4 linked regions of the Lytechinus pictus genome follow. The protein of the gene in region 3 interacts with the protein of the main gene of each other region in a biochemical or structural test. Links are inferred from orthologs where the notes say so. Each region holds a gene or a part of one and is shown on either strand. Other genes may lie near its edges.

Region 1 (7,075 bases), on a different chromosome or scaffold from region 3:
ATGGGTAAAAGTAATTTCTTACCAACTGTTGTGCATATTTGAAGTTCTTCTTTCCTTTCCTGCCTCCATCAACATAGAAATCAGTCAAGAAGCCTCTGCATTTGTCTGAAAAAAATTGAAGTGAGAAAGAAAATGTGTGAAATGGGGAGAAGATATTTGCATCTATTTATATCTTAAACGAATCAAAGGGCAGATATTCAATCGCTTGATGATTAAGTGAACAATCAATGTTCCTGGAAACTTTATTTGCTTTCCTTTTAGGTTTTTCTTTTTTACCCCTGCAGTTCTTGACTGTGCACAAACATGGTCAGGCTCCTGAACTAAGGCCACCTTCGCCTTCAGCAAGAACTTGAAGTTCATGCTACATGTAGTATGTGATAGTGTGAATGGAGCAAGTAAGATTTAAGAACACAAAAATTCTCAGCTGTGAAAAACACGTCGAAAAGTAAAATCAAATCATAATTAGAAAGGAAATTGATCAATAACAAACTGAATTCGATGACATCATGGCAGAAAAAGAAGTGGTTACGAGGATGGAAGATATTCAAACGATATTCAACTTATTTGCTACAATGTATGAGCTCATTGCACAAGGCGCTGGCAGTAAGCATGTCTCTGACACTATCAGGATTCAAGATCACACTCAAGGACATTGGTAGGATGAAACTCGGAAGACTGCCAAAACTGACACTATCTTGCTTTTGTGCAAGCCTTGCTAAGCAAAGACTGTGCATGCTCAAGGATTTAGGAATCTTAGAGAAACCTGTCACTCTACAGAAAATCAAAGATTATGTCACCTTCTTAGCATCCACAGAAGATCACTGTCAGAATGAGTCTACATTTACATGAAATCTGGTAAAACTAGGAGAATCTCTCTTGATGGATAGAAATGGAACATTTAGAGGAGTTACTTTGACTATCTACAACAAGTTCATTGTATGTGATTCAGGTTCTCAAGCAAATTCAGAATCGTCACCTGACAACAAGGCCAAAGGAGGGCATAGACATGCTCTCAAAGAAAAGATACTGAATGAGATATCTCCAACAAAGAAGCAGGGGACCATTTCTAGGAGATCAAATCATCCACAAGAGGATCAGACATATCTTTGTTGATGCTGCAGATGGTGCAACTCCGAATTCTGGAATGCAAGGGAACTGTCCTGAGCAGAGATACAGACGATGACCTGGGCCACGTAACACAAAGGTTAGCAATTAATCGCTAAAAGAAATGGCCTATCAAGATCATCGTTGCATGCACATTTTGCTCAGCAAAATAACTAGGAACCAATCAGAATTGTACTTTCAAATTAGCGATTAATCGCTAACCTTTGTGTTACGGGGCCAGAATACATGAACCTGGCAGAATCCCTTCAATTTCTATACCGTCCTGTACAATCCACCATACAGACTCTTACCCTCACAAAAAGAGCGGGAAGAGGGTCAACTCTGGAATTGATGTAGGGTACAATTGTAGGCACAGGCCTGAGTAGGTCTCAACTGTTTTTTTTTTCATTGTTGATCTAGTTCTATTGAACATGAAATGCAGGCAAATCCAGAATCTGATCTCTTCATGTTCCAGACCAAAGAATTGTCATGGACTCATAGTCATTCAGTATGTAAACTGAAAGCATGTTTGACATTTTATTGGCATTGTAGTTTGACCCAATGATGAGCTTCATATTTGCAATAAAAACATTGCATTAAGATGTATATAGCCTACTTCTGTGATTCTCGAATGTACATGTATTGTTTATTGGACTTGTCAATTGGTTTATCTTCTGTATAAGTTCTTTGAATAGAATAATTAGAACGCATGACTGTACACTTTAAATCTTGGTTGAAGATAATAACATTAACAAGTACAAGTTTCACTGCAAAATGATGATGCCGATTTAAGCTAATTTCCTGCTGTATTATTATATTACATGTAGGAGTACAATCAGATTTGTCTGCTTGCAGAACTGCTGATCTGACTTTGACTCCAAAATAGTCATATTATTGTCTTTTTCATTGAAAAATGCCACATCCAACATTTGATCCAAATGGTTTTGAATAGGTTTGGTAGGCTATGTAATTTTACTATTAATTTATAGACTTAAGAGTAGTCTCTAGTCTGGTCTTCTCTTTTTTACAAACCTGAATGAAATTTTACTAGGGCCCAAGTAAGAAAGAGAAAACAGATGAAATAGAATCCATACATCATGCAAATGCAGCCATTAGGAAAATAGGAAATGATTATTTCTTATGAAGCCTAACTGAACTCCCTCCCATTCCGCTCACACTCAACGTTAGTAAGTTAGATTTATAAAATATTACTTTTGGGCGATGTCCAGGCCAGCAGTGGGCTCGGAGTCAGAGCGGAGTCGCGTCGGAGCCCGCGCCCCGTCGCTGGCTAGGCTTTGAATATGCAGCTCAGGCATGGGAGCAAGTGCACTGCGTCCATTTAAACTTTAAATGGCTTCACCGCGGCCGGCGCGTGCGACTGGCTTCAATTCATCCGATCATCCAAACTGTTCTCCGTCTCAACATCTCACAAAAACAAGATAAAAAACTGTCGTAAAATACACTCACCCTTTTCTGCAATGTAATCCCTGGCTGCCATTGTCTGAACTTGTAATTTACTGTACTTAAATCAAATTCCACAACCAAACAATATTTCTTGAACAGCTAGCAGACCCTTTTGTGTACAAAATCACACAGACGAACCTGGCGCGAAATATATCACGTGACACGCCAGCGCGAGTTGACTAGTCTCACGCTGTGAGAATTTTGTAATTAAATGCCAATTAATCATTTACAGATAGGTATTCTGCGCTAAAAATAGACAATTCACGAAGTAAATAAATTTCAGAATGATTCTAAATAATCAAATGGTCATAATTTATCGCACAGACGAACCTCTCGAGAAAGATATCACGTGACACGTCTTTATTTAGAATGAAAATAGGTAATTTACACGCTTTAAGGAAGACAACGACTTTTCTTTGTTGTTGTTTTTAATTCGGTATTGTGGTTCGATACATGCACGATTGACAGCTGTTTCTCTGTTACGACGATACCATGCTCGTCCCTAGATTTTCATTAAAGCGTTCTAAACAGAAAATATGCCTGAAAAATATGGCCCTTTCTCCGATTGTAGCACTGTTGTTACTTTTTTTAAAGTTTTGTATGTTTGTAATTATTCTTTCACGTTTCCTTCTCATTTTTTTCTTTCTTTGTTCCGGGGGGGGGGGGGGGGCGGTACTTCGATTTTGTTTCGGACGGCCCGCGGGGGTGCGCGGCTAAAGATTCAAAACCCATTCCCATATTTACCGGTCATTTTGGCTGAAAAGTTACCCATTATTAAGGATTAATTGAAATTTAACAAGCAGAAAAAAAAGGTTATCACCCAAAATTGAAGGAGACCATCCCACTGGGCAATTTGTTACCGATTACCAATTTTACCGGTTATTACCGGTAATATCACCCGGAAATTTGAGTAACACCAAATATTACCGTTATTACCATGTTATTACCGAAATTATAATTACTGTTGATACCTGTTACTGTTATCAACCTGATGAAACCTACATTTACCTAGTTACAACAGGGTGGTGAGGGGTAATAAGGGTAATGTTGAATGACTTTGATTGGTTATAACATTGCAAACTTTAGTAATAAGAGCAATCTTACAGCAATCCCAGCGAAATTTTCAAAGTCCAAAAAATTACTGTTATCACCCTGATGAAACCAAATTTTACCCAGTTACAAACAGGTTGATAAGGGGTAATGGGTAATGTTGAAACGCTTCCATTCCCAGACAGCAAAGTATCTGGATCACATACGGTTCTTATCTGGGATATCTGGGTCCCATATGGGCCCACATGGAACCCAGATGAAAACATATACTTGAACCCACATGGTGCCCAGATAGGACTCAGATGGAAACGAGACCTCCAACCCATGCGGAACCCATTAATATTGGGTAAATGGAGTAATATCAGATGGTAATATCAGGAAAATGCTGGGAATATTAGTTACTCATGAATATTCATTACTACAATAAATGGCCAAAATTTTAGCTAATATAGCTGTAATAATTAATGTGTTTATGTTTATGCAATTATTCCACCCAGAAAATTTTCAGAAAAATGTGTAGTTTATATATCATATTAGTCATAATCATGACATTAATTTTAGAAAAATGTTTTAGGGTTGAATAATTGTTAACCATAATTTGTCAAGTGTTGTAAACTCGCTCAATATATAGAAGTAAATGACAGGGTTTGGTGGATAGGTGTAGGATAGGATTAGGATTAGGATGTAGGATTTTAGGATAGGATAAGATGATATGGCTTAGAGTATGGAGTTGTAAAAATGTGCTTCAATGACCCTAATGACACTAATTGTTTTTTTAATGAGCCGACATTAATTGGGTAATATTGGGTAAACAGAGTAATATGAGGTGGTGATATCATTAAAATGCTGGAAATAGTAGTTACATCATACTGAGAAATATTGGGTAAATGGAGTAATATCGGGCAGTAATATCATGAAAATAACTGGAAATATCGGTTACATCATACTGGGTAATATTGGGTAAATGGAGTAATATCGGGTCCGGGTAATAACGGGGAAAGATTGGTCTACTATTTCCCCGTTACTACCCACTGGTGTTACCGTGGTAATAACTACGTTATTACCTGTTACAACCCGGGTAATATCGGGTAAAATGCCCAGTGGGATGTTTAAGGCCGGGGTATCTAAAAATTGGGGCCATGGACCCAAGTTTAAGGCCAGTATCTAAAAATTTGGGCCATGTTTAGGGATTTCTTCAAAAAAAGCGACACATTCCAGCGGCACATCCCCGTATGCCTTATTTCGTGAGTGACGTACCCCTCCCCCGGGCTTTGTTTATATACACTCGTTCATTTTCTTCTCCGTCTTTTTTGTCTTTTTCTCTTATATTTAGCGCGCGCGAACAAGGTCCTTCAGGGGGGGGGGGGTATCGTGTGCCAACAGTCCACCCAAGCGAGAAAGGGGGGAAAAAGGAAGGAACAGGGAAGGGGAGGATGAAAAGGAAGAAAAAATATATTAAGAAAAGGAAGCAAGGGAGGGAAATAATTGGGGGAAACTCAGGTCATTATCCCTGATCTATTAAAAAAAAGATCGCTCGCGTTTTTCCTTCACATTGCCTTGGAAAATCTACTCAAGAGGATAACTCGCTCGTGATTCTACCCAGAAGAAACCAGTTCCATATATCAAAATGCATTCCAGTTCAAGCAAAGTAGCCTATGGGATAGTGCCAGTCAAGGGCGGAAATCTCTCCCCAAATGTAGGGGGACCAGGGGCTGGAAAATTTGACAAGCAAAAAAAAATTGTTATCAGGCCACAAATTTAAAGTCACTCCGACCAAAATAAATTTGACGAGGCAAGCAAGCAACAACAAAAAAAAAGGTTATCACCCAAAAAGTAAGGGCATCTCGTCCAAAATACATGTTTTATTTCGATTTTGAATGATGTATTTCTTTCCATCAAAAATAGTAGGGGGGACATTGGATATTGTGTCCCCCTACTATTTTGAGTAGGGGGTCGCGCGTCCCCCCTGGGATTTTCGCCCATGGTGCCAGGCAATTGTTTTAAATCAAACTGGTGTTACTGAATTAACCTATGAGTCATGACCAGCAGGCCTAATTGTTACTGTAGATTTTTACTTGGCCAGTTGATTTTTAACTGGACCAGTAAAACTTCTGATGATGCAGATCACGTGGTTTCATATCTCCCGTTTTTTAAAACACAGAATTATAATTTAGAATAGTATAATAAATGCAAGGTCCAACTGATTCTTAAAAAAATCAAAATAAGTGTGTAAACTAGCTATTTTACAATATATGTAATTATTATTTTAAATAACAGAAATATTCATTTATGACTATCGTTTTCCGCCATATTTCACTGATCATGATCATGATGTTAACAAATCAAACGGACTTGTTGGAACATTATAGTTTTATCCCACAAGACATGTTTTATCCCCACAATTACGTGCTTCTCACCCAATAAAAATCAACGAAAATTGTCAGATTATCCGACAAAGACAATGTTGATGGAACGCCCCCTGCCCCCTTGGCCTCGTATAACACAAACGTTGCGATTAATCGCTAAATGAAACGGCCTATCAAGATCAGTGTTGCATGCGCATTTTGCTCAGTAGACTGACGAGGAACCAATCACAATTGGTCTTTCAAACTAACGATTAATCGCTAACCTTTGTGTTACGGGGCCCTGACCCGGGGGGGGGGGCACTCAGTATATAATGCATAGTGGGTATGTGCCGCGGAGGGGACCCCCATTTTTACACTCAAATTTCCGATCCAAGGCATAGCATTTTTGTCTTATTGAGAAAAAGAACAAAGAAAGCCGTTCCAAGGCATAGCATTTTCTTCTTATCGAGAAAAAAGGAAGACAGAAATCCGCTCCAAAGCGTCGCATATTTTTCGTTACGCCGTTCCGGTCGCATTGAAGCTGCAATTTTGGTGAAAAGCGGCCGAGAGCGCTGTCCGACCATCGCCTCTGCGCGAGCGCACTCGGCGGCCGTGCCGCCGGGCTAGCTGCATCATGCACGCATACCCGTTCCATAGGGATGCATACAAGCTCACACGCTGGCGATCCGTTCCAAGGACCCCCGTTTTTACAAACATTTGTCGTTCCGAAGCCCGTTCCGAGGACGCTCCTTTTTACAATAAGCCCGCTCCAAGGCCCCCGTTTTTTGTCTCGCCCGCGGCACACCCCTACCACTTTTTTGGTCGAGTGCCCCCCCCCCGGGGGCCCTGATCTACTATGCGGCCTCCGAGCTGAAAAAGGTTGTTCACCACGGATCCAGGGAGGGGTTCATCCAGCCCGTGCCCCTTCCCCCCTCTCCTGAGAGCATGGCCCTCAGAAGCGGGTGTGCTGGGGGTGCCAAAGCACCCCTAATGATTTCCCTGGGGGTGTTGCGTGTATTATTCTCCATAAGCAGCATTTCCGGAATTTTGGAAGGTGTGTCAAATGGGGGAAAAAATACACAAAATGACTTACATTTTTTACAGAAAACATT
Region 2 (7,963 bases), on a different chromosome or scaffold from region 3:
CATTATTGTATGGCAGTACGTGGCGTAACTACGGGGGAATGGGCACGTGGAGCACGCCCCCCCCCCCCCCATCGGCTAGTCAAAACACACACACACACACAAAACGGGGGAAGGAGAAAAAGAGGGAGAAAGAAAGACAAACATAGCGAGGGAAGAAGACATTACTGTTTATTTATTATATCATTTTATGTTACATTATTATTTTATATAACATGAAATATTTTCCCATAAGGGCATATTCGTCACTCGATCCTGGTGATATTAATCCTGTTCACTAAAACATTCTCCGTTTTCAAGTCAATATACACCACCATGTCCAGTCCGTGCTTACCTTCGCATGCAGTGGATTGGTGAGATGATGTTTCCATGAATTCCTCAAAAACAATCCTAAATATGTCCCTTTTCTCGTCTTAATTTAAAACATTTTCAACTCGCGCCTCGCATCATTTAGTTAGTGAAATACGTATGGTCCTAATGAATTCTTGTCTTAGAATGCCCTCTTAATCAGTTATGAATATCAAAAGTTTCAGCTCGCGCTTCGCGCTCGCCTTGATTAATAAGAAACGTATGGTGTTGCTGATTACAATAATTACAAATGTGTTTAGGTGTAATTCTAATAATAATAAAAATAAATCAGTACGCGCTTGGCGCTCACTGCACTTACGGATGCAGAGAGGATGTAACGCAAAATAATGTTGCTATCCTATGGAATTATGTATCCGTTGTGTACCCTTTGCACACGTGTTTCATATACCAGTGGCGTAACTACGGGGGGGGGGGGGCATGGGAGGCAAAAACACGGGGAAAAGGAGAAAAGAGGGAGAGAAACGTAGTGGGAAAGAAGACATTATTATTCATTATAATGTTATATTATCTTATAATTATGTTATGTTATTTTACATTAAAATTTAAAAAAATCCTAACTTTATGAAACATAATTTGCTCAGGGCTTATGTATTCATTGTTCCTGATGCTCGCGTTGTCTGTTTAACGAGATATATAATCCCGTTATACTAAAACCTCCCGTTTTCAAGTCAGTATACACCAAATAATATTTGTATTGTTTTATGTAGTGACAAATATGCTTCTTTTTCATGACTACTTAAAGTGATTGCCCCATTTTAAGGTCTAACTATAAAACATTTCCTGTCCGTGTTTGCGTTCGCATTAGTAGATTAGTGAGATATGTCTGCTCTTCATGAATTCCTAAAATCAGTCCTTAAAATGTCCCTTTTTCTGATCTGAATATCAAAAATTTTCAGCTATCGCTTGCATATTTTGGTAAGTGAAATACGCATGGTCTTGAATTCCTACAAACAAGCCTTAAAATGCTCCTCTTCAGGTCTGAATTTCCTAAATTTTCAGCTCGCGCTTTACGCTCGCAATATATGACAAGTGAGATGCGTATAATAATCATGATTACAATGACTACAAAAAGTGTTTCTCATGTGTTTAGATGTAATTCTAAGAAATCAGCATGCGCTTGGCATTCGCATTAGATGACTATGGTGAGATAAGTGTTCTCTTCATGGATTCCTTTAAAAAATAGTCCTTAAAATATCGCTGTTTGGGGTCAATATATACAAAAAAAAATTAAGCTCGCACTTCGCGCTCTTATCATTTGGTTAGTGAAATACGCATAGTATTCGTGAATTCCTACTAACAAGCCTTTAAAATGTCCCTCTTCAGGTCTGAATTTCCTAGATTTTCAGCTCGCCCTTCGCGCTCGCAATATTTGGTCAGTAAGATGCGTATGTTAATCATGATTACAATGCCTACAAGTGCTTCATGTGTTTAGATGTATAAAATTCTAACAAAATCAGATAAAATGGCACTCGTATTAGATGACTATGGTCAGATATGTATACTCTTAATGGATTCTTAAAATATAGTCCTTAAAATGTCCCTCTTTGGGGTCAATATATACAAAACTTTCAGCCCTCACTTCGCGCTCGCATTGTTTGTTTAGCGAGACAGGTATACGTATCATGATTACAAAAATGTATTTATAATGTCCCTTTAAAGGTCTGAATATAAAAAAATTTCAGCTCGCGCTTCGCGCTCGCATTATGTGATCAGTGAAATATATATCCATTTAATGGCACTGTCTTTAGAATTTCTCTATTAGGTCAGTATACCTGACAACTGAGCGCGCTTCGCGCACTCAATAAGTGACTAAAAACATTTTTGGTACCCCCCATGCCGTGACCCACGGTACGCCACTGTTTCATACGTTCTCCATCGAGCATCCGTCCACTGTGATTTCATTGTCCATTGTCTGGAGCGGATGTAAACGGATGGAGCCACCTCGAAATTGGCTTGTCCGCTGTATCCGTTAGCCTATGGATACGTTTTGTGTCCGTCGGCAAGTGGGACCAGACCTTTAGATGACTATGTAAGCTAGCTCTTCATTCATTTCTAAAGAATAGTCCTTAAAAGGTCCTTGTTTGGGGTCAATATATGTAAAATTTCAGCTCGCGCTTCGCACTCACATTGTTTATTTAGTGAGACAGATATACATATGATTACATAAATCGGCTATTATAATGTCCCTTTCTTAGGTCCGAATATATAAAAAAAAAATCAGCTCGCGCTTCGCTCGCCTCAGTGAGATACAAATCATTTTAATTGCACAGTCCTTAAAACGTCTCTATGAGGTCATATAGCTGGCTGTTGAACGCGCTCAGCGCGCCCACTAAGTGCCCAAAAAATCCAGGGGGCTGTTTCATAAAGCTGTTCGTAAGTTAAGAGTGACCGTAAGAACGACTGGTGAACCTTTCTTACGTGCTAAACCATCGCCAATGAATATGCAATTTGCCACTAGAAAGGATCACCAATCGTTCTTAAAGTCGCTCTTAACTTACGAACAGCTTTATGAAACACCCACCAGGTCCCCCATAGGCCCCATGCCGTGACCCAATGTTATGAAACAGGGCACTAGACAATATAATTATCCATTAACGTATGAGCCTGGAACGGAAATCTGAGGGAGAGGGGGCAAATCTTTTCCCCAGGACACCATTGAAGGTCAAGTCCACCCAATAAAACTGTTGATTAGAAATGATAGAGAAAAGTTAAACAAGCATAATGCTTAAAATTTCATCAAAATCGGATCTAAAATAAGAAAGTTATTATATTTTTAAGTTTCGCTTATTTTTCATAAAATAGTTATATGCACAACTCAGTGATATGCACATGAGAGAGTTGGTGATGTCCCTCACTCACTATTTCTTTTGTTTTTATTGTTTGAAATACAATATTTCAATTTTTACAGATTTGTCAACAATTAAGGACCAACCTGACTTAATCATAAACTGTTGAAATAATTGTCATCACACATGGTCAGGGAGGAATAAGATTTGTTTCACATGCAATGAGGAGAAAATAAGAATTTTTATATTTCATGTGATAAAATACAAAAGAGGTAGTGAGTGGGTGACATCATCGGTCTGCTCATTAGCATACCGACCATGATGTGCATATAATTGTTTTGCGAAATTAAGAGAAATTTTAATATGTCATATTCTTATCTTACATCCGATTTTGATTTTTTTTTAATCGATGTTATAAGCTTGTATGATATTTCTCCTTTTATTCAAGTCACCTTTTTATTGGGGTGGACTTGTCTTTAAGCAAAAATATCACCACCTGCACAAACAACAAAGTGCTATAAAACGCCAACTTTGAGAATAAAAAAAAAATGTATCAATAGAGATCCACTCTCCTTCGCATATTGACTAAGATGAACATCTTTCTGTTATGAATATCATAATGAAGTGGAATGGATTGGTTAGCGAGAGAACAATTAAGCAAAGGAATTATTTTGTTTTTTATCAAACTATTTTATACAACATTCTCTCTTTTCATTATCTTCCTCTTCTTTCTCATTTTATACCTTCTCGTTTTCTTGCCCCTCTCTTCTTTCGCTTTTTTTTCTCCCGTGTCATTTGGAATTGGAGTTCCATACCTCTTCCTTTTCTTTTTTTCTTTCACTTCCTTTCCTCTTCTTTCTTTCTATTTTCCTCTCCTTTTCTTTCCTTTCCTCCCTTTTTGTCTTCCTCTCCCTTTTATCCTTTCCATTTTCCTATTCATTCTTCTCCCCTTTAATTTCCCATTCCGTTTCCTCTTTTTCTTTCTTTCTTTCTTTCTTTCTTTCTTTCTTTCTTTCTTTCTTTCTTTCTTTCTTTCTTTCTTTCTTTCTTTCTTTCTTTCTTTCTTTCTTTCTTTCTTTCTTTCTTTCTTTCTTTCTTTCTTTCTTTCTTTCTTTCTTTCTTTCTTTCTTTCTTTCTTTCTTTCTTTCTTTCTTTCTTTCTTTCTTTCTTTGCTTCCTTCCTTCCTTCCTTCCTTCCTACCTTCCTTCCTTCCTTCCTTCCTTCCTACCTTCCTACCTTCCTTCCTTCCTTCCTTTCTTTCTTTCTTTGCTTCCTCTTTTTCATTTCCTTCACTAACTTTCGGTGGTCTTGTAGATTTCCCCGCTGAAATATTTTTGGGCCGGGGGTTGAGGGACCCGCCCCTGCCCAAATGTTTGGCACAGATGGTGTTTGAAAATATATGACAATATATTGGGCATGATGGTAGATGAAATATTATTATAGAATAACTTGATGTAAAATTTTAATGTTCAGTACGAAGAAAAAATGGAAATATAGATGATCAATAGAGGAATGAATACAATTTTTTTTTATTCACGATAAATCATGATTTTCCTCACCCGTAGCCATGGGGTGGCAATAATGATTAATATCGATAATTTCATTAAAGCAAGAAACAAAAATAAAGATGATCACATTCACATATGCATTAATATAAAGCACATGTATGTTCATTTTATAATGAATATGTCAATGGCGTAATACGCCCGCGCAGTGGGTTAATTTTATTATTAAAATTATTATTACTTTTCATTTTTTTTTTCCAATTCTATTTGTGTGGTTAACTTCTCCTTCGTTGCGCATGTTCGACGAAATTTAAAGTCGAAGTCTGAGTCTGACTGAAAGTCAAAGTTCGTAAGTGGGGTTAAATTTTATATTGTGCAAGAACATTTTGTTATATTTAACTTTTGCAGTCATATATATTAACGATGGTCTAATCTTCCAGCTTGAGTACACTACCGCTATTATTACCACTCTGTTTCTCATCGTTCTGGCCGGGCGTTTTGGGCTTCTGTCTGGCCACGGCTACGGCTGCCTCGGTAACCCAGGCCGCTCCGGCCCGCGAAGCGGGGCGGAGCCCGAGATCAGGGGCCTGTTGCATGAAAGGGTCTTTCGTAGAACCATTCTACGTAAGAACGAGATATCGCTCAACTGTTTCACAAAGCCGATTTGGGCGATACGAAGAATGGTCCTTGGAAAGACACCTCCAGACATGTCCTACGTAGGCATGATCTTCTTTGCACACCGCCCGCCACCGTCGGCATTGAGAGAAAATGCATTTACGCCAAAATTACGGCAAGCCACACTGACATATCACCTCTAAACATTTTTTTTGGTTGCACTCTGATGCATTTTATCTGGGATGGTGCCAAGTTATGTTTTATATGGGGGCTATAGTTGTCATCAATTTCAGGTCGTCTTTTTGCACGGCAGGACGACCAAAAACGGATGTCATTTTAACTTCTCCGGCCGGGGTATGGTAGGGGGTCCTAAAGCTGCGCGGGTCCTAAAGCTACGCAGCACTCATCGCGCATGCAGTTTTTATGGCAAATGCCCGGCGGCGCGGGGCAAATGCGCACTCTGTGTGTGGAACTGTGACTGCAGAGTGACGAACGATTCCTATTCAATTTTTTCTTCAGAGGCTGCACTGCAGTAAAATCTCTAAATGCAGAGAAACCAACAACTGTTTGGAATTTTGGAGTTATATTCGCTTAAATTTCATTTTATCCTATAATAATATGAATGTATTTTAGAAATTGAGGCACAAGAAATACTATTTTTTTGCATGATAAATCGAGTGCGTAGCTTTAGGACCCCTTCTACATCGGGTGGCGAAATCAAGAGGTGTTCGGAAAACTCGGCGGGATTTTCGTATTAGTGAGTTTTGCGATATTTTCTTCTTGGTTAATGATCTTTAGAATGTTTGCCACAAATTAGTGAAAGATATTTGTTGAAATACTAAAATTGGGGTAGTTTTTATTGTTTGAAAACAAAGTGCGTAGCTTTAGGTCCCCCCATCATACATGTATTATTCCCGGGGGTAATGTATAGGGCCAAATATTTTTAAAAATAATATGTTTTCTTCTATTCTCCCTCCGTCTTATCCCCACCCCTTTTCTATTAAAAAAATAAACTTGAAATACTTGAAATGGGCGGCACTATATCTCTTTAGCCGACCCCAGTCATGCTTTCTCATTAAAGATAAACAACAAATTTCTTTAAAAGAAATTATGTAAGGTAAAAAACGTGTTCAATAACATTCAGCAAAAAAAAACCAAGACAAACAAAACTAAGATGTTAAACATGCTAAATCATTTATTTATTTTATTTTATTTTCATTATAATTATTTTTTTTTGCTGAGATTTATTTTAATCAATGAAAATTAATTGTTGGATTTGAAACAGTGAAACAAAACAAAAAACCTGCAGCTAATATTGAATTTAAGATACAGATTAAGCCTATAGCTTACGAATCCATCACAATCATTACAAATGAAGATAAGTTCATTAAAGAAAAGATTATGGAAAGTCCATACGAAGAGGCGCATTTTAAATCTTTTATGTTATTTCTTAAACCTTCCATAAATTAAGTGATCATCTTTAAATATGACCAGCGTTTATGATCGTTGTCATATTTAGCATTATTTCTGTAAAAGTATTTGTCCATTGCGGATTGATTCACACCTTTTTCTATGTTTTAATTATTATTGCAAAGTACTACTTTATCCACTTGGACATGTTTGCAGCAATTTTCATATTTTCATTTTCTTCTGTTACTCATCATGCAACTGAGGTATGTTTATACTCTAAATACTCACATTTGTATTTCTTGCGTTATATCTGACAAATAAAATAAATAAATTAGATTTTTCACACGCAGCCTCTCATATTTTCCTTTTTAGTCTCATACAATCAGACACTGTTGATTTTGTTTACTCCATTCAAACCCTATATTTACCTCAACAAATAACATATTAACGCATAATTTGCAAAATTATCATTATATACAAGTATTCTATAAAAATACAGAATATTGAACTCATAAATGTCGAAATTACTTAGTTAAATCAATTTTTATGTCGGACAAGGCCCAAGGGTCTCTTTCGTTGAAATATCAATAAAAGGTGTCTCTAAAAAGACACCGTGTTCTAAATAAGGGAAATAATGAAAATTTCGATTTTATTTAGTTATGTTTGTGAATCTTTAAAGTTTTTTCTCTTTTAACCTCATAAAGTAAGCTCCATACATCAATTCTACTATCAGTAATAAATAAAACATTATTTGATCTCCTTTTATTGAAATATCGGATTTTATGTAAAGTCGTCATTCAGAAATAAAAGGTTCAGGTGACGATGAAGACTAAATATTTTCCCGATACTATCGATATCAAACGATGTCGCGGACTTGGAAGACAAAATTGCCTTCGTGAAACGGAAAGCGCTGATTTGTCGCCAATCTTCCTATCTCGGAAGAATGGTCCTAGGACGTTCCTACGTATCGCTCATCTCGTCATGCAACAGGCCCCTGGACTCGTCCGTGTAATTAGGCAGCGCGTACTCTCCAAAATGGGGTAGAATGGGGTCGTAATAGCACCCCAAATAAAAAATGAAAAAACAAATTATGCACTTACTTCGATTGTATGTATTTGACTTTGGCAACATTTGAGAGGTATTTTACAGTGTGAGTGTCATTATAAAAATAATTAATGATGATGACAAGCAAGCAAGTCCAGTTTTTTGAGAAGTTCGTTATTTCTGTCTTTTTTCTGGACCGGCACCTTCACTGTCATTGTCAAGGAGCTAAAGTAAAGG
Region 3 (7,461 bases):
CCTCTTTTTTCCCTCTTCTTTCCCCTTTTCTTCTCCCTTTTTTCTTTGTCTTTCCTTTCCCCTTTTTCTTCTCTTCCTTTCTCCTTCTTACTCTCTTTTCTATTCTCTTCTTTTCCCATCTTCCTCTTTCTTTTTTTATTCTCTCCCTTTTCCCCTCTTCCCCCTCTTTTTTTTTTGAGCTGGGGGTGGGGGGGGGGGTGAGGCAGTTCCCCCTCGGCCCTCCATGGATCCACACCTGATAGAACCCCATGGCCTCGTATCATTTGACCTTTGGACCTCTCGATGACATTTGATATATCTGATCATAATTTTACACACACTGCGGACTATCGGACCCGCGGTCTATCGGACCCGCGGTCTATCGGACCCGCGGTCTATCGGACCCGCGGTCTAACGGACCCGCGGTCTATCGGACCCGCGGTCTATCGGGATGTCCCCTAATAATTAAATTGTCCCTTTTGTTTCATCTCGCGCTTAGCAAGAGGAAAAGGAAGACAGTCATCATTTGCATAAATTATGAGGACATGTCCTATATAAGGATGTCCTGGTCCTATGTCAAAACTCAGTCTCAAAGCAATATGAATAATGAAAAATATCGGTGCCAGGTAAAAATGGCAGAGGTAATAATGGCAGAGGTAAAAATGGCAGAGGTGAAAATGACAGAGGTAAAAATGGCAGAGGTAAAAATGGCAGAGGTAAAAATGGCAGAGGTAAAACTGGCAGAGGTAATAATGGCAGAGGTAAAAATGGCAGAGGTAAAAATGGCAGAAGTAAAAATGGCAGAGGTAATAATGGCAGAGGTAAAAATGGCAGAGGTAAAAATGGCAGAGGTAAAAATGGGTAAAAACCGCAGAGGTAAAAAGAGCAGAGGCATAAATGACAAGAGGTAAAAATGGAAGATGTGATAATGACAGCTGTAAAAGTGGCCGAGGTACATGTGCACTATTAAAAAAACCATAGATTCTACAGAAAAAAAATTAAAAGACAGGTTTTACAGAAATAAAAAATAATTTTGTAAATTATAATAACAGGAGGATTTTCCACAATTTTTCTACAATTTTACAAAACAGATGTTTTAAAAAAAGGGGAAAACAGTTTTATTACAATAAATTTGTAAGGGTACACGCACAAAATACCAATATTCTGTAATTTTACACAATTAATGCATGTAAGATTACACAGTGCAGTAAGATTACAGCTGTTCTCCAGACTCTGTTGCAGGAATTTTTGATTTTTAAGTATAAATTTTCTAACAGTGTAAAAAATGGCGGAGTTGAAAATGGCAAAGGTATAGATGGCATGCAGAGGCAAAAATGAAAGAGATATGGGGTGCTGGTTTGTTAAAAAGCCGAGAAAAAAAGTTTTCACTCCAAAATGAAAGGGGATTTGGTTAAGGGGGAAAATGACACAAAAAATTATTTCAACTAAATGAAGTTCTTTTAGGTCAGAAAAAGAATTACAACAAAAATAATAACAATTAGATAATAAACAATGTTTTTCTTCTGTTTGAAAAATAACAGAGATTTGTATCAAATCTCTACATTTTAGCATAATAATTTTATATATACCAAGCTATTTACCAAAAGGGTGCTGCTTATGGTGTACAAAATCCCCAACAGCACTTCCGCTTCCAAGGGTTATGACCATCAAGGCATTTATATCATATTGGATGCAGTGGTAAAGGTTCAGGGTCTTCTTTTATGCAAAGAATCTGAACCAGACGACCCCCCTCGATCGACCCCGAATTGGTTTACCAGTCAAAACAAGATTATTATTGATTTTCATAATCAGTTACATATTCACTGCCAAGCCTGGGAACGCATGCTTATAGTCATTCAAATATTTAAAAAGAATAGTACAGACGACATTACAAATAAGGACATAATATTTAACCACAATCATTCGTGACTATTTCAACGTCTAAGCTTTCCCCGCTATGTTCTCTATGTTTTTCCACGCCCCCTAACCCTCTCTGTCTCTCCACCTCTCTTATGTCTACTCTTCCTCCTTTTTTGCATCGGTAAACCTGGCAAAACTTTAGATATACTAAAAAACCAGCCAGACAAAAAGGAATGTTATAAAATGATGAATGAGAATAGTGCAATTTCATTTTGCTCCTGATAAATTGAATGAAAAAATATCTGTCGTTTGATTTCTTTTTAAAAAGCGTTCACGGTACACCTGCAACGAATTCGTACAAAGCATTGTTAGGCCGATATAGACATAATGATGAAATGACTAACCGTGACATGCACTTCTTATTTAATGTATGTACTTGCGGGGGCTTTTTGACAATTCATTGCATGGGGGTTTAAGACTGGCCATATTATTTTTACCTATAGAGCTGTCATTTTTACATCTGCCATTTTACCTCTGCCATTATTACCTCTGCCATTTTTACACCGAGCCAAAATATCAGCTCTTTATTAAGTGCGATCCATATCCACCTCACAATTTTCCTACAAAGTGCTTGATATATATAGAGCTGAAATATGAAATAGTTTAAGCTCACGCTTCGCGCTCGCTTTGATTTTCATGATAAAAGATGTATTTAGCAGGGGCCGCGGAACGGTTTTCAAAGTGGGGGGGGGGGGGGGGGCTGACCATGCAAAAAATCACAATCATATGGTCATTTTTACGTTTTTGTACACGCTTTTTGAAAAAAGTGGGGGAGGGGGGGCTGAAGCCCCCCCCAGCCCGCGGCCCCTGTTTAGAATGCCTAGATTCTAGGTCTAAATCTGAAACACGCGCGCATGTTTATTCAGATACTCAACTTGTGCTCTATGTAAATCATTATCCAGTTTCAGATCACAATATCAAAAATGTTCTGCTCGCTCTTTGTGCTCGCATTATTAGTGTATAGGAAGATCCCCTATTACTCATCCTTTTCATGATTTACAAAACATGAACAGAGTGTACCGTTTTTAGGTCTAAATCTCGTTTTTTTCGCTCGCGCTTCGCGCTCGCATCAATTGTTTAGTTATATAACTATCCTGTTCACGATTACAAACATTTTCAATGCTTTATGTATACAAATGTCAATTTATTTTTAGCTCGCGCTTTGCGCTCGCATTATTAATTATTGAAATATTATGTAACGTCTTCATGGTTAAGTGCAAGCAGTCCTTACCAGGTGAATCAGTTCAAAACGTGTATATAAATTTTCTGCCTGCGCTTTGCGCTCGCATTATTAATGTAAGGAAGACCCCAATTACTCATCCTTTTCATGATTTACAAAACATGAATAGAGTGTCTCGTTTTTAGGTCTAAATCTCGAAATTTTCCGCTCGCGCTTCGCGAAAAAAATTGCTTACAATTTCCATTCTTTAGGTCAAAATGTCAAAAAAAAATTCAGCTCGCGCTCTCATTGTTTGATTGTTGAAATATGCAACGTCTTCATGGCTAATAGCAAGCAGTCTCGCGCTTCGCGTTCGTAATAATTAGTTAATTGCACATACATCTTTCTCAGGATAACAAACATTGCCCAGATTATTCAAATTTTACGAAAAATACATGAAATTTTCAAAAAAATTTAGCTCGCGCTTCGCGCTCGCATTATATAGATAAGGATTATGATATGATATATTTATGTTGATTTATAAGCATAAAGCTAAGAAGTTACTATGAGGACTACCCTTCAAAGAAACATACATAAATCATCTTCGAGCGGCCGATCAGGGAAAATATTGCTGAAAAAAAATTCAGGGCCCCCCATATCGGCGATGGCTGGATCCGCCCCTGAAACAGCGCCCATAAAACAGTTCCTTTCAAAATATGTTTACCTTCAAATGTTATCTCTCTTTTCATTGTAAAAATCCCTTTCCACCACTTCTCAGCTCTGATGAAGACAGTGCCCCCATTTCATAGTCTGCAGGCACAATATTGTCAATATATATATCCTTAAAATTGTTTTTGATAAACTTTACATTACCGGCACTATTACTTCAGGCATGCAGAAACGGAAGATGACGGTGAGAATACCGGTTATTATGCACTCAATTCTTCTTTTGACATGGAGGTTCCCTACGTCGTACACACGTTCCGCAGCCCCTGGTCCTACAAAAAAATTGTATACGCTTTCCTTTCCTTTTTCTCTTTTTTTTTGGCGCGAGCTAACTAACAGGGTTAGATTTTTTTTTTGTCTTGGTCGTTAAACTTTTTTATTTATCATTATTATTATTTTTTGAGGGAGCTTCTTCTTTTTGACTGGCGATTAGTCATATTTGCATATTGTCGCCACTGACTTTATCTTAGAAATATCACTTCTCACATGCACATGATAATAGGCCCTATTATCACCAATATGAAAATGGTATCTTGTGCATCTTTGAATTTAATAAAAAGTTGAGAATTTCTCAGCGCACCCGGTGCGTCCATGCTATACCTGTAAGTACTTGGAAAATTGAAATTATTTTCGCCAATAGATGGCGGTCGTCATTCAGCTTCGATCTATCAAAACACATGACATGTGCAAATTTGGCGCGCCAGTTTTAATGAGATCGCAAGTGGTGAGTGGTACGGTACGAGTACGACTGCAGCTGTGCGAGCTGGACTGAAGTGAGCGGGAACTGGAAAGCATTTGCGCCGTTGGCAGCCGCCCAGGTAGTTATCAAGCTCTGACTGAGTCTCCGCTGCGGGTACGTCAATTTTTTTTTAAATATTCAATATTGTTACACTTACATACACATCATTTCCATGACCGTTTCTATGAAATTTGATTACGGTCTTATGAATCATTAAAAAATGACAATTTGTGATGTCAGAGTAGAGTTCTAAGAAATTCTGAGATCTAACGTTGTTAAATTAAATATTCTAAAACTTTAACTTTTTAAATTTCTAAAACTTTAGTTTAGAAAATTAATTGTCACTAACGTAATGAACGTTAGTCTACTTGACTTGCCACTGGTCTGCTGAGTGAGTTGACTTAACTTCCGACCATTTTTTTTTTCATGATGCATCATGTCCGTAATGTTAAGTTGATAAGTTGTTAATGTTATGGTAGATGATGGGTTTACACAATCACAATGTCTGACTCTGAGTCTGACTGAGTTGTGTAACTAAATAATTGGGTATTGCAATAAAATGTTTGCAATAAATTGCACATACTCACATAGTCTATTTTGTTTAGTTGCATTTTTTTACAAATTATTATGCCGAGTCATGGAATTTCTCACACAAAGTTGGTCTTGTCTTGGCAACTCTGAATTAAAATCATTTTTAGCTGTATGTTTGCAAACGGATGACATTCCGTTTTGCAAGAATCGGATCTGCAATCACAAATTTGCAATTTACGTAAGTTGCAAAACAATTGTTATGAATGAATTAGCGACCAAAAATTGATGTGCAATTGATCGCAAGTTTCTTGCAACAGTCACACTGGAAAATTCTTTCAGGCACGGTTGTGAAATAATTTGTTTTTTGTACTGTAGAGTGATAGAGTCTAGTGTTGATCAATATAGTCTACTCAAGGTCAGGGTGACCAGACGTCCCGTATTTCCTGGGATCGTCCCATATTTTACTCCTTTGTTCCGGCGTCCCGACAAACCCTTCCCGGGACGCCTATTTGTCCCGTATTTCATGATATTGAACAAAATGTAGTTAATACATTTTAAAAGTGACAAATTTTCATCAAATAACCAACAGATATGACGAAGCAGAGACAACAATAAAATCGATAACTAAACTTTTGCAGGTTCTGTGGTTTTTTTTATTGCTAACCCAATACATTGCAAACGAACTGGCCTCCTGCCTGTGTGTGGCAGGCTATACTAGCTAGGCATGTAGGATCAGAGCAGATTCTCAATGGTGCAAGCAATCTCACATGATGAACAGTTTTTCCACCAAAATAATCACAAAATCAGCCGGAAATTTGTATAATTATATTACATTATGGATTCTCAGATTACAGATTTGGAGATGTAATTGGAGGAACAAGTTATTGAGTTTTCATAACTAGATCTCATTGTTTCAGCTTTTGTTTTGAGTCTTGGGGATCTTGTTGTGTATGATGCTGCAGCGATGTTTCATCTAATTTTTAAGTTTGAAAATGTTTCACTTTGAAATTTTATTCATTTCTAAAAGTACATTTTGATTTTTTTTTTATTATAAAAGCATTTAAAAACACCATGATTTGTTAGATGATTTTTTTTGTTTGCTTGAAGTTTGAACTTTTTCCTCTTTCTTTCTTTTCTATCCTTCTTTCTCCATCCTTCCTGCTTGCCCTTTTTTGGCTATCTATCTTTATTTCCTTTTTTTTTCCTGAACCTTTCTCTCTGTTCATTTTTCTTTCTCTTACTTTCCTTCTTTCTTAAATTTCCTTTTTTTCCTTCATTCTTTCTTTCCTTAAACTTTTCTTTGCTTCCTTCTCCCTTTCATTTTTCTTTTCCTTCTTTCTCTCCTTCCATTTTTTCTTTTTTTTCTTTTTTTTCATTCTCTCCTCCCTTCATTCTTTCCTCCCTCTCTTTCCTCCTTTCTTTCATTCTTTATTTCATTTTTTCCTTCTAATTCTTTTCCCTTCCTTCCAATCCTCCCTCTCTTTCCTCCTTTCTTTCATTCTTTATTTCATTTTTTTCCTTCTAATTCTTTTCCCTTATTCTTTCTTTCCCTTCCTTCCAATCCTCCCTTCCTGTTTTTCTTCTTTCTTTGTTTCTTTCTTTCAAAGAATGAAGGAAACACATTTTTTAATCCTTCATTCTTTCGTTCACCCTCCTTTCCAATTCTTTATATTTTTTCACAAGTCTAACACTGTGTAGCCTTCGTTTTTGATGTTTTTTGTCGATTGTCCCATATTTCATTTTGTGAAATCTGGTCACCCTGCTCAAGGTACAAAAAAAAGAATTCTCAATTTTTTTAAGAAAATGACATTTCAATGAGTTTTTTTAAATACACTGTATATGGGGAAGCTGCATGCTCGCATGACATCACAAATCAAAAAATGAAAATTCTAATAACAAGTTATTGATTGATTTTCATCAAAGTATATTAACAATAAAATATTTATCAGGGGGAACTTCCCTTTTAAGTTTAAGTTTAATTCCTCAAAATGTGTGCACCAAATTGTATGTGTTAGTGTGATTGTGAGCACCATGACCTAAATCAAATCTAGTATGACTCACAGGTACGACTAGACCGATACTCTACAAAGAGGACTGAACAGAACTCAATGGAGGAAGAATGCATGGCACCATAGTTTGAAACAGTCATGTCATTGTGTAATGGATAGTTATACCTTTACCTTTACCCGAGATTCTGGAAGAATGCTGATGATCCCAGCAGTCGTGCTTCCAGTTCAAGTCCTTCATCTGTCTCGTTACTTAGGTATCTTCATAGCAGTCTAGCTTGGAAATCTGCTCCGTCCTCAATATTAGTGTGGTTTATGCATCATAGGGTGAGCAGTACCGCTGGTCTGCCCACACCTTGTCTAGCCTTATTTTTAAACTGTTCACCGTCTGAGCAGTGACT
Region 4 (7,378 bases), on a different chromosome or scaffold from region 3:
TCTCTTCCACGGAAATAAAAGGAAGGTCGTTGGTGGCGCTAATACAGTTCGCAACCTTAATTCGGCTTGGTGGTATTTTTAAAACTAGATTCATTATTCATTGTATGCGCAATTCCAATAATTGTTTGATAAAATAGAGACCCCAATAAATGCAATAACTTAAAAAACATACTTTTTTATTATTTTTGCTGACGATAATACTTTTTGGAAAATATTCAAAACGATGACAAATTAAACAAAAAATATAGAAAATTCTATGTACCTTGAACAAAGCCCAGCAAGTGCTACCGTTCGTTTGTCAATTAACGTTCCACCAAAGTCTTTACAGTAAAAAGATTGAACACTTTGCCGACTTCGCGTAACGCTTTGCATCGATTTACGTGTAAGATAATTTCTGTGTCTAGTCTTTCAATTGTAGTGTCTTTGATATGAAGATAAATCGCGCGCCCTCTTTCGCTCATTAGACGAAAAATTTGAGAGCTAGAAAGGTAGCTCTCGTATTTTGTCAACGAGAAGAAAAATCAACGCTTAAATGACGCATTTTGTGTTTGAGGGATATTCATCAAATTATGAGGAATTGACTTCACATCGTTTCGTAAGTTTTGTAGGAGGACTTCATTCTGTAAGTCCTCGTATTAATTTTTCGCAAATTAACGTTATTTGTTGAATGCACCGTGCCTTCAATTATTCTGTAGTCGGCGGCTGAGATGTAGCTGTGTGTGCCTATGGGGATGGGCCAAAATGCTGTATGCAAATCCAGACACATTTTATGGAGCATTTAAGCCTTATGGAACAACTGCAGAATACCCGGACACTGCGTTACCTTATCGTTGGAGAGCCAACGCACAACGATGTACTTAAGCTATCAAATCAGAAAATCAGCTATAATAAATAATTGAATGATTTACAACTTACAAGTATTTTTTGAATAGATTCTAAGTGTTCAGACTGCACTGTAACGCTAACGATGCGAGCGCGCGCGATTAGTATGTAGACCAACAGTGTCCGCGATGCCAACGATGTGTATATTTTCGTAGTACGTGTAGGCCAACACAGTCCGCGATGCTAGCGGTGCGTTGGTGTCCGTAGTACAGGCCAACACTGCCCGCGATGCCAACGATCTATATATATATCTGTGTGCATCTGTAGTATGTAGGCCGACATTGCCCGCGATGCCAACGATGTGTATATTTTCGTAGTACGTGTAGGCCAACACAGTCCGCGATGGTAGCGGTGTGTTGGTGTCTGTAGTCGGTACAGGCCAACACTGCCCTCGATGCCAACGATCTATATCTGTGTTCTGTAGTATGTAGACCAACAGTGTCCGCGATGCCAACGATGTGTATATTTCCGTAGTATGTGTAGACCAACATTGCCCGCGATGCCAACGATGTGTTGGTGTCTGTAGTACAGGCCAACATTGCCCTCGATGCCAACGATGCGATCATATCTGTAGTTGCCTATGTAAACCAACATTGCCCGCCATGGCAACGATGTGTTGGTGTCTGTAGTACATGCCAACAGTGCCCGCGATGCCAACGATGCGATCATATCTGTAGTTTCCTATGTAGACCAACATTGCCCGCGATGCCAACGATGTGTTGGTGTCTGTACTGTAGAGTACAGGCCAACATTGCCCTCGATGCCAACGATGTGAATGTATCTTTAGTAGGTATAGGCCAACAGCGCCCGCGATGCCAACGATGTGTTGGTGCCTGTAGTAGATGCAAACAGTGCCAACGATGCCAACAATGTAAATGTATCTTTAGTACGTATAGGCCAACAGCGCCGGCCAGGATGCCAACGATGTGTTGGTGTCTGTAGTATAGGCCAACCTTGCCCGCGATGCCAACGATGTGAATGTATCTTTTGTATGTATAGGCCAACAGCGCCCGCGATGCCAACGATGTGTTGGTGCCTGTAGTAGATGCCAACAGTGCCAACGATGCCAACAATGTAAATGTATCTTTAGTACGTATAGGCCAACAGCGCCGGCCAGGATGCCAACGATGTGTTGGTGTCTGTAGTACAGGCCAACCTTGCCATCGATGCCAACGATGTGAATGTATCTTTAGTAAGTATAGGCCAACTTTGCCGGCGATGCCAACGATGTGAACGTATGTTTAGTATGTATATACCAACAGCGCCCGCGATGCCAACGATGTGTTGGTGCCTGTAGTAGATGCCAACAGTGCCAACGATGTGAATGTATCTTACATAGGCCAACATTGCCGGCGATGCCAACGATGTGAATATGCCTGTAGTAGAGGCCAACATTGCCGGCGATGCCAACGATGTGAATATGCCTGTAGTAGAGGCCAACATTGCCGGCGATGCCAACGATGTGAATGTATCTTTAGTAAGTATAGGCCAACTTTGCCGGCGATGCCAACGATGTGAATGTATGTTTAGTATGTATATACCAACAGCGCCCGCGATGCCAACGATGTGTTGGTGCCTGTAGTAGATGCCAACAGTGCCAACGATGTGAATGTATCTTACATAGGCCAACATTGCCGGCGATGCCAACGATGTGAATATGCCTGTTGTAGAGGCCAACATTGCCGGCGATGCCAACGATGTGAATATAACCCTAACCCTAACCCTAACCCTAACCCTAACCCTAACCCTAAACCCTAACCCTAACCCTAAACCCTAACCCTAACCCTAACCCTAACCCTAACCCTAACCCTAACCCTAAACCCTAACCCTAACCCTAACCCTAACCCTAACCCTAACCCTAACCCTAATTGAATTCAATTCCCATTGAATTCAATTCCCATTGAATTCCTTCAATGGGAATTAAAACTTTATTTCATATTTTAATGAAGAAAAAATGAAAATATTTCATGTATAAAAAATACAAAAGAAATAGAGAGTGAATGACATCGATCACCTCACTAACCAGGATATGCATATATTAAACTGTTTTGTGAAACCATACTTTGAAACGCTTGCCAACGATGTTTTGAATGTTGCATTGCACGGTCACATCGTTGGTCGTTGGCTAGCGGCGCACCCAACGATGTATAGCAATAGCTAGTAGTAGTAGGTAATTTAAAAGAGTGTATTAATCTTGTACTATTGCACCTTCACATCGTGGGTCGTTGGTTAGCCAACGATGTTTTAAATGTTACATGGCACCGTCACATCGTTGGTCGTTGGCTAGCGGCGCACCCAAGGATGTATATAGCTCTAGTAGGTAATTTAAAAGAGTGTATTAATCTTATTTTATAATATAACAGTTTCACATCGTGGGTCGTTGGTTAGCCAACGATGTTTTGAATATTATATTGCACCGTCCGTACCGTCACAACGTGGGTCGTTGGCTAGCAGCGCACCCAACGATGTTTAATTATAGCTCTAGTAGTAGTCAAAGGGCAAAGGTCATTACGTATGGCCTGGATGCATTGCTCGTACGTACCGTCATACGTACGTACGTACGTAGTATAGTAGTAGTAGTAGTACCAGTAATGCATGTACGTATATAATAGTATGGATATATCTAGGCTATATACCATTGAATTAGTATATAGCTATAGGTCTTGACATCGTTGTGTTGGCTGACCAACGATTGGGTAGTGAGCAGTGTCGGGGTATTCTGCAGTTAAGCCAGCCTTATTTTTCACTATTTACTTAGGAAATTTTATGGTAAGTTTTGAGCAATGTTTTTTTTTTTTTCGTTGTCCTACCTACTGAAATGTATGATGATAAACAAATACTAAATAGAATTCGTTAGCTGGCATTTAAATCAATTTGTAATTGTAATTTGTATACGATTTCATGATATTATTACATCATTTCATAAATTGTCTACTTAAAGTTAAACGGATGAATAAAATATGTTTGCAGGTAATTCATTTAAAATGCGTTTCACATGGCGCATCATAATAAATGTGCGACACGAAAGACGGTTCTTGCAAAGACCCTTACGTGCAATCGGCCCCAGGCCATGGCATATCCACGCCGCTACTCCCGGGCAGCGCGAAGCTAGACTCTTGGACTGGAGAAAGACGGGAGAGCTGAGGCAGCAGTTGTGCTGGACGTGCCTGTGCAGCTGCACAGCCTGCAGCAGGTCGCGGCGGGGGTCGCGGTCGGCAACTAGCGCAAATAGTGCTGCAATTTTGCTCATGCTCACCTTTATCAAGCTCAAGAAGAGCTGAATTTGCATCATGTTCTTGTTCTCCATATCCGACATCAGTACCGAAGTTTGACAAACGAGAAGTTGCACTTGACATGGTATTTCAAGTCTTGAGATATTGTTTGGCGTGTGTAAAATTCTTTTAGAATTTTTAGATTGGCGAATCTACATGTACTTCCGGGTTCAAATCTTTAAGCTCTAGCTAGGCGTTTTGATGTAAAATCGTGCAACAATGTGCATCGCGTATGCTGCTTCGTCCGTGATAGATCTAAAAAGCGTCTGGGTTTTGAAACTATCTTTCGGGAGGCGCGCCAAATTCGATGCATTGCAGATACAACGTAAACAAGTGTGGAAATGAAGTTTTTGTGAAACGAAACTGAAATTCTAAGCTTAGACGCCAACCATTAATTTAGATTTTACTTAAATCTACCAGAAAATCTCCAGCCAGCTGATTTTATCATTTTTTCACAATGTCATCCAGGAATTTGATTACTGCTTATCACCAAGATCGCCGACGCTGGGCTTGGAAATCACAAACAAAGAATATTGGTGAGTTCAACTTTACTTTACTCATTTAGTTTAATGAGAATTTTGAGATAGTATTAGTAATGACGTTCCACACTACCACAGTCAGTTATTGAGTTAACATGAAATTCATGTCATTTTCACAAAATTTTGCGTAGGCCTAGAGTTAATTTTGCACCTTAATACTCCAAATTATGCAAAAATTGACATGGGTTAATGAAATCATGTGCTTGAATTTTCGCTATCGAGCTTTCAAGTTAATCTTTTTGAAAGGTCTTCTTGAGTTGAGAAATGTACGTCATAATTTTTAGACCCCACGCCCACAGGCTAACGTCGAGTTTATTATACCTCTATTACTTTGAAATCCATCAAAATTTTACCAAAATTTACATTATACTTATAGGCCTAGTTTAGAATTATATAGGGGTCCTACTTCTTCTTCCATTAGACTTAGATTACATCCATTGATGTCAATGACCTAGACAGCTGGCAGCCGTCTGTTTCGAGAAGTTATTCAACATTTTTTTATTTTTTAAATTTCTCGTACACAGACGGCTCGCTATCATGTATAACCCAGGGAGCCCAGGGGCTTACCGTGTATTTGACCATACTAACGGGACTAGCGTGATTTATGGTCTAAATATTTCTCCAAATGAATTGTGAAAACAGAAATTATGCACTTACCAAGATTATATGGATGAAGGTATAACGAGTGGCATTTTCCTGACATCGAGGCACAGACTGGAACCTCAAAAAACGAAAAGTTCTCTCCTACCACAGTCTCGATCGGCCATTTTTGTTATGAATCTTAACAAAATGGCCGATCGAGACTGGGGTAGAAGGAGAGAACAGTCCAGTTGGTGTGTTATCTGCCAATTTGAAAAAAGCCTTCCGTGCTAAGCTTAGACAAGCAAGAGCTGCTTGCAGGAATGGTCTTCTGTCAAGAATTGAGGGAGCCGACGAACACAACGACAGACTGTTCTATACACTAGTGAAAGAACGAGGCCCTGGCTCTGATGTGCACCAACTCAACCCTGGAGGTCTCACCTACTCTGGGCCCGATATCATCCAGGGGTGGACTCGGCATTTCCAGGATCTTGCCACCCCATCTGACTTCAGTTCTACACAGGCTCTGAATCCAACACATCCTGAGAATATGGACTCCCTTGCTATACATCATCCACAAGGGCTTGACCATCTCTTCACTTCAAAGGAGCTGTCCTTGGCCATCTCTTCATTAAGGCCTGACAAAGCTAGTGGTCCAGACAACATCTCTCCTGAGCACCTAATGTACACTGGGTGCACCACTAGGATCCTTATCCTCATCATGATGAACTGGATGATATATCTGAAGCACATTCCTCTCAGCCTTAAAGATGGCCTTGTCATTCCTCTCTTCAAAGGTGGGAGCAAGAATCCAACAGACCCAGGAAATTATAGGGGTATCACTCTGAATCCAGTCTTAGGAAAGCTGTTTGAGTTGTTGGTAAAGCCCAAACTTTCCCAACACTTACAAGAACACCAAATTCCAGACCCGTTGCAATTTGGTTTCCAACGAGAGAGGTCCTGTACTCTTACAGGTAAAGCACTTGACCTTCTCATCGAATCGTACAAGTCCCTCAACTAACCTCTGTACATAGCTATGTTGGATGCCCAGAAAGCATTCGACAGGGTCTGGCAAGATGGTCTCCTTTCGAAGATAGCAGCGACTCATCCACCTACAGTGCTGCTGGATACCATTACTGAATTTTACAACAGTTGCTCAAGCAAGGTATTCTGGAAGCATGAAGTTGGTCCCTCCTTTCCTGTTCTCCAAGGAGTAAGGCAGGGGGAGTGCTTTCCCCCATGCTGTACACTCTCTACATCAACGACCTTATTAAGCGTCTGAGGGAGTGTCATCTTGCTGCTCAGTCGGCAACCTATATGTTGGGGTCATAGCCTTCGCGGATGACATTGCACTTCTTAGCAATGAGCCCATGGAACTGCAACAGATGTTGAATGTCACATTTAATTACACCCAGGAGTGGAATTACAAGATCGACCCCTCCAAGAGTGCAATCATTGTGCTTAATCAAGATCTTCAGAACAGTGGCAACTCTTGGCAGATCAATGGTGAACCGATTGCACAGGTCTCCTCACACAAGCACCTTGGCATCGTCAGGACTGACATCTTCAGTATGACTACGCTGCTGATGCGATCACAAAGGGATACAGATCATTTTATGCCCTTGTGGGAACCTCACCACTAGGAGCAAGGGTAGTTCCCCATGTCGCTGCAAAACTGTGGAAAACTTTTTGTGTTACCAGGATGATCTTTGGCTGCTCTAGCATTCCCTTTTCAAGGGCAATGTTGAATCGCCTAGATAAAGCACAGGTTCACCTATTTAAGCGGATTCTGGGTCTACCAACAACATCAGCCGACGAAGCAGTATATCTTCTCACTGACATACATGTAATCCCAATGAGCCTGTTGGTCACCCAGGAAAAGCTCCTACTCCTGGGACAGACCTTGAGCACTGACATGGACAGGATAGAACGAAGGATGCTTCTTCATGGTATCTGTGCCAACACCAAATCCGTACAAGAATGGCGTGCTGCACTTAAACAAAATTCAGCCTTCCCCACTTGATGAACTTGTAAGGAATCCCCCTAGCTACCATCTATGGAAGCGAATGGTTCAGTCGGTAGTGATTCAGGTATCCGGGGCCAGAC

What was found.
Region 1: the proteins of serine/threonine-protein kinase Chk1-like (region 3) and DNA replication licensing factor mcm7-like form a complex in vitro, tested with the Homo sapiens proteins (2 studies listed by BioGRID, with this or other methods). The link is inferred for Lytechinus pictus from reciprocal best matches to the Homo sapiens genes CHEK1 and MCM7.
Region 2: of the proteins of serine/threonine-protein kinase Chk1-like (region 3) and serine-protein kinase ATM-like, one has a biochemical effect on the other in vitro, tested with the Homo sapiens proteins (2 studies listed by BioGRID, with this or other methods). The link is inferred for Lytechinus pictus from reciprocal best matches to the Homo sapiens genes CHEK1 and ATM.
Region 4: of the proteins of serine/threonine-protein kinase Chk1-like (region 3) and denticleless protein homolog, one has a biochemical effect on the other in vitro, tested with the Homo sapiens proteins (2 studies listed by BioGRID). The link is inferred for Lytechinus pictus from reciprocal best matches to the Homo sapiens genes CHEK1 and DTL.

What each region holds. Positions count from the first base shown.
Region 1 is NC_087260.1:14,307,278-14,314,352, forward strand, and holds the start of DNA replication licensing factor mcm7-like, read right to left. Parts: upstream 3,007-7,075; 5' UTR 2,603-3,006; coding exon 2,572-2,602; intron 106-2,571; coding exon 23-105; intron 1-22. UniProt on the Homo sapiens protein: Acts as a component of the MCM2-7 complex (MCM complex) which is the replicative helicase essential for 'once per cell cycle' DNA replication initiation and elongation in eukaryotic cells.
Region 2 is NC_087248.1:3,339,770-3,347,732, reverse strand, and holds the start of serine-protein kinase ATM-like, read left to right. Parts: upstream 1-4,945; 5' UTR 4,946-5,006; intron 5,007-7,963.
Region 3 is NC_087252.1:4,964,226-4,971,686, forward strand, and holds the start of serine/threonine-protein kinase Chk1-like, read left to right. Parts: upstream 1-4,457; 5' UTR 4,458-4,637; intron 4,638-7,461. UniProt on the Homo sapiens protein: Serine/threonine-protein kinase which is required for checkpoint-mediated cell cycle arrest and activation of DNA repair in response to the presence of DNA damage or unreplicated DNA.
Region 4 is NC_087251.1:16,413,249-16,420,626, forward strand, and holds the start of denticleless protein homolog, read left to right. Parts: upstream 1-4,354; 5' UTR 4,355-4,611; coding exon 4,612-4,690; intron 4,691-7,378. UniProt on the Homo sapiens protein: Substrate-specific adapter of a DCX (DDB1-CUL4-X-box) E3 ubiquitin-protein ligase complex required for cell cycle control, DNA damage response and translesion DNA synthesis.